Oreochromis niloticus: one gene and its partner. The protein of the gene in region 1 purifies or fractionates together with the protein of each later gene. This does not show direct contact. Links are inferred from orthologs where the notes say so. Each region holds a gene or a part of one and is shown on either strand. Other genes may lie near its edges. The genes, in order: rnd3a and plekhg5b.

Region 1 (3,921 bases):
TGGCCCCGGCGGACCTCACCCTGAGACTGGGGTGGCAATGCTAGAGCAGACAAGTAGGTTGGGGAGAGGGGGGCAAATGGAAGGCTGTATAACTGGCAGGAATTTACCTTAATGGGCCGAATTACTCCCTTCACCGTCCCATTTAAACACAAACACATATAAACAGCAGGCTGCTCATTAGGCCACTCATCACTGCAGAACAAAGACCACCTCGGTGTGTGTGTGGAGGTGTGTGTTTGAGAGGGAGGGGAAGAGCGGGTGGCAGTCCACAATGTTTGTCTTCCTCCCTTCGTGTTGGTCTTTGTCAGAGTGCAGGCCTGGGTCTCACACACACACACACACACACACACACACACACACACACACACCTCAGGAGATAAGGGATCAATTGGATTGGCTGTGGCAGATGGGGGTTTCAAAAGAAAAAAGGAGAAAAAAAAAAAGGGACCAGTCAAGCTGAAAGCTGCATCAATTGGTCACTGTGTGTGTGTTTGTGTGCTGGGTGTGGGTTTGGAGTGAAGGTAGGGGGTGGGTTGGTATAGGGGTATCTGGCACCTTCTAAAATCCAATGATCTAATAGGAAACCACCCCCCAACACTCCTTTTATGAAACAGAGAGAAAGAAAAATGGCTCCAGGCAAGCAGCCAACACAATTCAATAAAAGAAAATTCTCACTCGGGCCAGTTTTCATTTCTTCGCCTTTCCACATTTACACACAAAACTGGAGAGATGAAGGAATTTTCAATTTGATGTCCTTGTTTCACTTTCTTGTAGAGTTACTGAGGCGGCAAAGGAGCGCCACTCTGCAGATGCTTTTACTTTCATTTGCTCTGAAGTATAAAACTGCTCAGAAATCTGGCTTTTAAGAAGCTGCTGTTGGATTTTCCAGTCTGATGTTTTGCGTGTTTCCAAAGGAAGAAAGAAAGATCTCAAACTGACCTCGATCTTCAAGTTACCCAAACGTCACTCAGGAATTCCAGGCCAGGGATTTTCCTCTCATTCCCACACACACACACACACAAACACCACATGCTCACACACATGAAACATACACCTCACTGCTGTGCTATTCAGTGCTCAGGCAATGATCGATGGGAAAATGGGTTTGTTTACTCACTCACTCACTCACTCACACACACACACACACACACACACACACACACACACACACACACACACACACGATGCTGGTTTTCAGACCCCAAACACAAAGTCTAACCCGCAGGAGATTAAAAAGAAAAAAAGCTGCTGAGCCAATGTTGCTCAACCTTCCCAAAAAGCACAGGAAGCAGGATGAATTTCAAAGTGTGTTCACCAGATGTATGAATATGAGCTCCGTTCGGCCTATCATTATGTTTCCTTTCCTGTTTCCACTTGAGCTTTGCTCAGCTGGGAGGAATTCATAAATCAGATCCATTCCACTGAGGCGTTTCTGCGCTCGAACTGAGCTACGAGGCTGAACGTCTCCATGTAGGTAAAAGGTAAGCCCCGATCTAATCTGAGGGGAAACGTGCGGTTTCGAGGAACAGCGACTCCAGACTATGGGAAAGGATTAACTGTGCTACATCGATTAAAATGGGTCACAGATTAATTTCATTATTTGAGAAAAAAAGCTGCCCTGGGACTCTCCTGTCTCTGATTTGGACATTCTGGGCTAAAACCTGTTATTTATTTATGATGTAGTCAAACATGGGTGTATTCTACCCCACAAAGTTAATAATAAACTAGCTCCATATCATTCAAATCAGCAACTGGAGAGTGACTGATCACCGAGGTGCGTGTCAGAACATGTCCACACCACCGCCACAACTGGCACAAGGTGACACTTGGAGCATGAGTCAGACAGAGAGGTTGTTGGAGGTGAGGATTACCTGAGGTGTCCCACAAACTGAGCTCGATCCTCTGCGTGTCGATCTCAAAGCTGGCTGTGTAGTTTTCAAACACAGTGGGGACGTAGCTCTGCGGGAAACATTTAGAAGAGGGGAGGTCAGGGAGGAAAGCTGCCAGGTTTTAAACTTTGAAGAAACTGAGCAACGTTAGATTTATTACCCTATTAACACGATCGTATACTACAAAGGTGTTGGTACTACTACGTTTGGATTTCAGCCAAAACTCATCCCAACACGTATCAAGCACTACAACATGAATGTCCTTCATCACTACTGGAACAATCCACGTGACACAGCCAGGTTCAGAAGAACAATGAGATGTGCTGGTCGTGGTATCTGTGTGTGTTATTAACATGCATCGTGGCTGCAGGGTCTCACCTCAGGGAAGCAGTCTTTGGCGAACACGTGAAGCAGCGCAGTCTTCCCGCACTGGCTGTCCCCCACCACCACTATCTTACACTTCACACTCTGACTGGGATCCATGCTGGATTTCAGAGATAACTTCTGACACGGGCGTCTCTCCTTCATTGATTTGAGTCGGGATCAAAGAGTTTAAAAATGAGTCCAATCCTGTGTGTGCGTGTGTGTGAACCGTCGAGAAGCAGCTGGTCTCGGTGCCTCCAAGCCTGCGCGCCTGCTCTCCTCCCCCGGTGTCTCCGCCTGCTCTGAGCCGGTAAATTCCATTTGCCTACATTTATAACGTCGCAGGAGCCAATGGCAGCGGCTCTCCTTCCGTCGGGATGAGGCACGTCCCTCCCTTCGTCCAGCGAGCCTCCACACAGACGCACGCCGGGGCAGGCACCGTGATGGCGCCCCCGTTTGGACTACACACAGACCTCAGCTTCAACATCAAAACAATAAAACACAAACTAAGATTTTTTTAATCAGTAAAGTAAATCAGATTATAGTTTCCCTTTGCCAATTTTTAGAGTGAAATAGTTGTGAAGCACTGAAAAAAAGAATTTTGCGCAAAACTTAGACTTACAAGAAGAGCAGCACCAGCACAAGGCAATTCAAACTATTTATGTTGCCTTTCCTTTAGATAACATGATTTTATAAAATAGTGATAAAAATAAAGACTGGCCTGTCTTGAAACTATGAAATAGGAAATCTGCAACATAACAGCATAAAACTGTATTAAAGTTTTAAAATTGATGGAATACAGCAGATACATGCAAACAGTTTATTTGCTATTTATTTGCCAATATACCAAATACAAGTCAACAAGGCCCGTGCTGATATTTACCCAGCACATCAATGCATCTATAAAATATAGATAGTTATTATTTTTATAGCCACAGTTCAGCCCTTAAGTCCTTCTGCTGAGTTGTGACTATGTAGTAAAGCAAGTAAATGTAGCCCAAATCAAGAAATGATCAGTCCTTGTAGGGCAGTCATGAAGATAGGTGTGCTTAGAGTTATCACTCAGTTATCTGTGTAACTAAACATGGGCAAGCAAAAGCAAAATAACCTTGCTGCTGCTGTAACTAGGTGGAATTAACCCTTTATCATCCAAGTCTCATACAGGCTTTTTGTCCCCAGCACAAATGGTAATGGAGTTACTGTCATGAACATAGGCCCCGCCCCTGGAGTTAAGGAACACGTCACAGTCAGTCTATGATACACACACTGTCTGTTTACTTTCTTTAGCATGACTGACTAAAAGGCAAAGGGTAATAAAGATTTATGATTCCATAATTGTCTAATATGACACAGTGACTATTCTAACAGACAAAATATAATGTGCAATTATAGCCCAGCATTGCTGTTTTACTTTAGTTTTCTTAAAACACCCTGTTGCTATAGCGTTTGCTACAAGATCAGTGAGGAGGAAACCACATAAAAAAGGTTTAAAGGTACAGAGCAGGGGTGTCAAGCTCGTTTTACATCGTGGGCCACATACGTCCCACTTTGGCCTTAAGTGGGACGTACCAGTGACACTCGTCTTTCAGTGTAAAGAAGCTTAACCACGCGCTGAACCCCTCAGTTATCTTCATACAAGAAAAAATAAATGCTATTTCAACAGCATGTC
Region 2 (3,921 bases), on another chromosome or scaffold:
CCTATATTGTCTACATTTTGCACACCACCTCATTACTTTTAAAGGGAAAATATTTGGCAGTCCAGTTAAGTATAAAAATTTTAATTTTTGTTTTAATGGGACATGTGAGCTTTTTTTTTTTTTGTTCCCGTGGTGGGTTTGGCAGAGTTGGTGAGGTTCTTGATCTGGTTAAAACTTGGAACACCAACCACAAAAGTATCGAGGACACCTGCCAAAAGGCAAAGCCATGCACAAATCCTGTTTTCGTTGCTGTATTTTTCCTCACAAAAAAATCTGTGCCTCACTCTTTATGTGATGTTCATCTTCTGCCTGCAACAACAACAACAATGTAGAGACAGTGTTGTTCACATTCAATGTAAACATGCATGCAATTACAGATTCTTTAGACTGTTTGATTACATTGATTTTCACAGTAGCTAGCATGAATACTTGATGTCTGCTTAGTTTTGGTACAGTAGAACCCATTTAATAGTCTTCATCATGTCACTCGATATCTGTATTGATATTAATAGAAAATATTCACTGCTGCAATCAGCAGACTTTTTAAAAGTTTCTCTATCATATATTTAACTAGTGATTCCATAGAAGCAGTGTTTATGTCCAGGTGACCACTAAAATTAAGGATCACTGCCCTGGTGCCCCACCTCACCACCACTGTTACTGCATTAGAGTACAGTGATGCGAGTACAGTTAATCCTGCAACGCCCACTGCCATTGGAAGAGAGCATAGATAGAACCAGTGAGCAAAATGTGATGTAATACTTTACAGAAGTGCTGTGTTAATGTACTTGTAGCTACATTAAGAAATTCTCTATTACTTTCCGCTTCTATTCCACAACATTCTTATTGGAAATAATGTACTTTGTAGTCCACATCATGTATTTTAAAGCTTTGGTACTACTGATGCTGGCTTAATACAAATAAAGCTACATTTAAGTATATAAGTAAATAAAATAGTTTCCAGTTGCAAAATTAATTCGATATACACATTAAATCAATAGTGATGCAACGTACATGTGCTCCAAAAAAAATTACTTTTACCTCAGTTACTTTGGCTTATTTGAGTAGATTTTAATGCTAAACTATTACTGTGGCTTTTATTTAATAGGCTACTTGTTTTATCGTTTTGTAAAACGGTTTTTAATACATAAAGTTGTCTGAGGTCTTGTGCACCACCTTTTTTTTTTTAATAATACCATCTGTGTAAGGACACAAGGCTGCGTATGAGTCAGAAAACCTTGCCCAGTGTTGTCTACACCGACTTCATTTCCTTTGCCCCACCACCCAGTGGTGCTTTGTTTTAGGCGCACCCCTATAAAAAAAACTGGAAACGCCTCTGACAAAAACAGAAAGTTTTACAGGCACAACATTAACTGGAGGGCCCACTATAGAAAGGTGTAGCCTTTGTTGGGTTGGGATGTCCCAGGCATTTTCGTTCTCCTTTCTCCTCACCTGCCGTTTTCAAGGTGGAGCACACACCTGATGCTGTTTTGTGTTCACTGTTTACATGTGACAAGTTTACTGAAAACGTGAATGAACCTCTGTTCTGTGCTGCTGTTGTCTGCATGTGTATCTCTGGCGCCTCCAGCAGCAGCGTTGCGCCACTTGAGAGCGAGAAACTGCACTGAGTCTTTGTGGATCCAGGTTCCATGAATGAATGGACGAGAACCGGTGTCTGAACGGAGAAGGCGGCCGGAGGAGACTGCGGACAATCCAACTTCACCCGAGCGTTGTGTAAAGTTTCGTTAAGAAGGAAATCCATCCACTGAGCTGCAGCTTTAAAGGCCAGGGGAAGATTTTTCCTCGTAATCCCACTCCTGCACCGATCGAGCTTCACCAACAGACGTTGCTCGATGGACGCTGGGAGGATTTTTTTTTTTTCTTTCACGCGTCCAGACAGCAACAAGTCATTTAGAGCACAGTCCAACCTGCAGCTGTGCTTCACTAGTCGTTAGACCAGCGTTAACTTTTGTTCGTGTGCACCGAGGGATGCTTTTTGCCACTCTTTTCCGCGCATTCGCCGTGATATGAACAGCATTGTGCTCGCCGCCGAGCAGATCCTCCAGTGTGAGCACACTGCCTTTTAGAGGTCGACCGTGGGAATGAGAGGAAAATGAAAATGTGCTAATTAAACATTTTTCTGGCTGATCAGCGCTGAGCCTTCCACACCGACAGACGGACCTGCGAGGAGCTGGAGTTGGTGCGGGAGAGGATTTCGAGAAGGATTGTATGTTTAGATGGTGCCAAACAAGTGGACCATGAATTCAGTTCTGCACAAATCGCCACCAAGGAGCTGGCTTGGTCTCAGATTACGCCTGAGTAAGTAAAAATTCATGAAGTCAGCTACTGACTGATCACCATCTTAATATTCGAGCGGCTGCTCAGTCTGCAGCTGGGTAATGTTGGATAAGTCATCACCTCAGAGTGATCAGCATGCTTATTTGTGTGATTCACTGTGAGTTTGTCTTCAAAAAGTCACAAAGGAAGGGGAAGAGAGGATCTCTCATGGCTTTGATCCTCAGGCAGCAGTTCTTTGTGTCATGCTTTCCTCCAGTCATCAAAGTTAATGGCTGGATTTGGCAAGTGACCTGAGCAATTATCCCAGCTGGAGGCAGGAATATTTTAGTCAGACAGGACAGTACACTCTGATCTGAAGTTATGCACCTGATAAAGGATCTTGGGACAACTCGGTATAGGCCTACACTCAGATGATTGATATTACCTCTTGTAAATCTCCAGACAGTACAATTTACTGCAGTTTTTTTTCATGCACTCCTCCACTCTTTCCTCCTCATAATTTAGATGTGTAACGACCTTTCTAGCAGTATGAGTTTATCTAACTGTTTCTCACACTCAGGTAATCTGCAAATTAGTTTCTCGTTGAGCTTTTATTGATGGAAACCTAATAAAATGAATACTTGACTCTTCTAGCTTTGAAGACTTATCAGACTGATGTCCTTGGAATTTAGCTCTCTCTCTCGCTCTCCCTCTCCTTTATAGACTTTACATGTTCATGTACACTGTTTGCAGTTCATGGGTTCATGCAGTAAGTGAAGTATGCACGGAGTTAAAGTTTAGCAGCCTTAATTGGTTGAGTCTGGAACCCTTCAGTGTTCCAGGCCACCGGAGTCTTAAGTCTGTCTTAAACACACTGGTCTAATCTGGGGCCAGATGTCTAGTCTGGTCTCTGTCGTCCACAACAAAACAAAAACTGAAGAAATATCTCTGCTGTGTGCACTTATTCACTGCTGGGATGTCCCGAAAGATGTCAACTGTGGGAAGGACATATTAGTTTAATGCTTCGTAGTATTGCAGCCATCATGTGCTGTTCATACAAAGCTTGACTGTAAATGTAGAAGTGTGGTCTTCGCATGTCTTTATTTTCAGTCGATTGAGCCTAATTTGTTTGATTCATGTCAGACTACTATCGGTATCAGCCATATCGGTGATGTTCACTGATGTCAGAGGTCAGAGGCTGAAATTTAACTCTTCCCCCCATAAGGGCGACATCTGACGACCTCGCCTGTACCCTTAATGACGAGGTTTGACATCTGAGTATATTTAAATGAAATGTCATATGATGGCCATAAGAACAGTTTACATGTTTTTCCAAGAGTAGCTGCATGGGCAGAGACCACCCTCGCTAACTTCTGGTGCAAACTCAAGTTATTTGGTCTGTAAGCAGACCTGAAATATGACAAAACCTGCTCAGTTCAGCTTCAAAGGTTACTCCAAGTAGACTTCCAAGGGGTAAAGACTTAAGACCTGTGTCCACGAACAGCATAGGCTGTTCAAGTTGGTTAGACTTTAGTCTGTGGTAGCCACATGGATGGATAACACATTGTGGTGGTGTTGTATTATGAGTTACTCTTTGATTCCGACCCCTATTAATCATCAAGTCTATTTAATATTTGAAATTAG

What was found.
Region 2: the proteins of rnd3a (region 1) and plekhg5b purify together in Homo sapiens (affinity purification with western blotting; 3 studies listed by BioGRID and IntAct, with this or other methods). This does not show direct contact. The link is inferred for Oreochromis niloticus from reciprocal best matches to the Homo sapiens genes RND3 and PLEKHG5.

What each region holds. Positions count from the first base shown.
Region 1 is NC_031986.2:6,636,087-6,640,007, forward strand, and holds the start of rnd3a (rho family GTPase 3a), read right to left. Parts: upstream 2,652-3,921; 5' UTR 2,418-2,651; coding exon 2,268-2,417; intron 1,960-2,267; coding exon 1,872-1,959; intron 1-1,871. UniProt on the Homo sapiens protein: Binds GTP but lacks intrinsic GTPase activity and is resistant to Rho-specific GTPase-activating proteins.
Region 2 is NC_031984.2:7,999,202-8,003,122, reverse strand, and holds the start of plekhg5b (pleckstrin homology domain-containing family G member 5), read left to right. Parts: upstream 1-1,363; 5' UTR 1,364-2,067; exon of another isoform or gene 2,068-2,152; 5' UTR 2,153-2,237; coding exon 2,238-2,319; intron 2,320-3,921. UniProt on the Homo sapiens protein: Functions as a guanine exchange factor (GEF) for RAB26 and thus regulates autophagy of synaptic vesicles in axon terminal of motoneurons. Involved in the control of neuronal cell differentiation.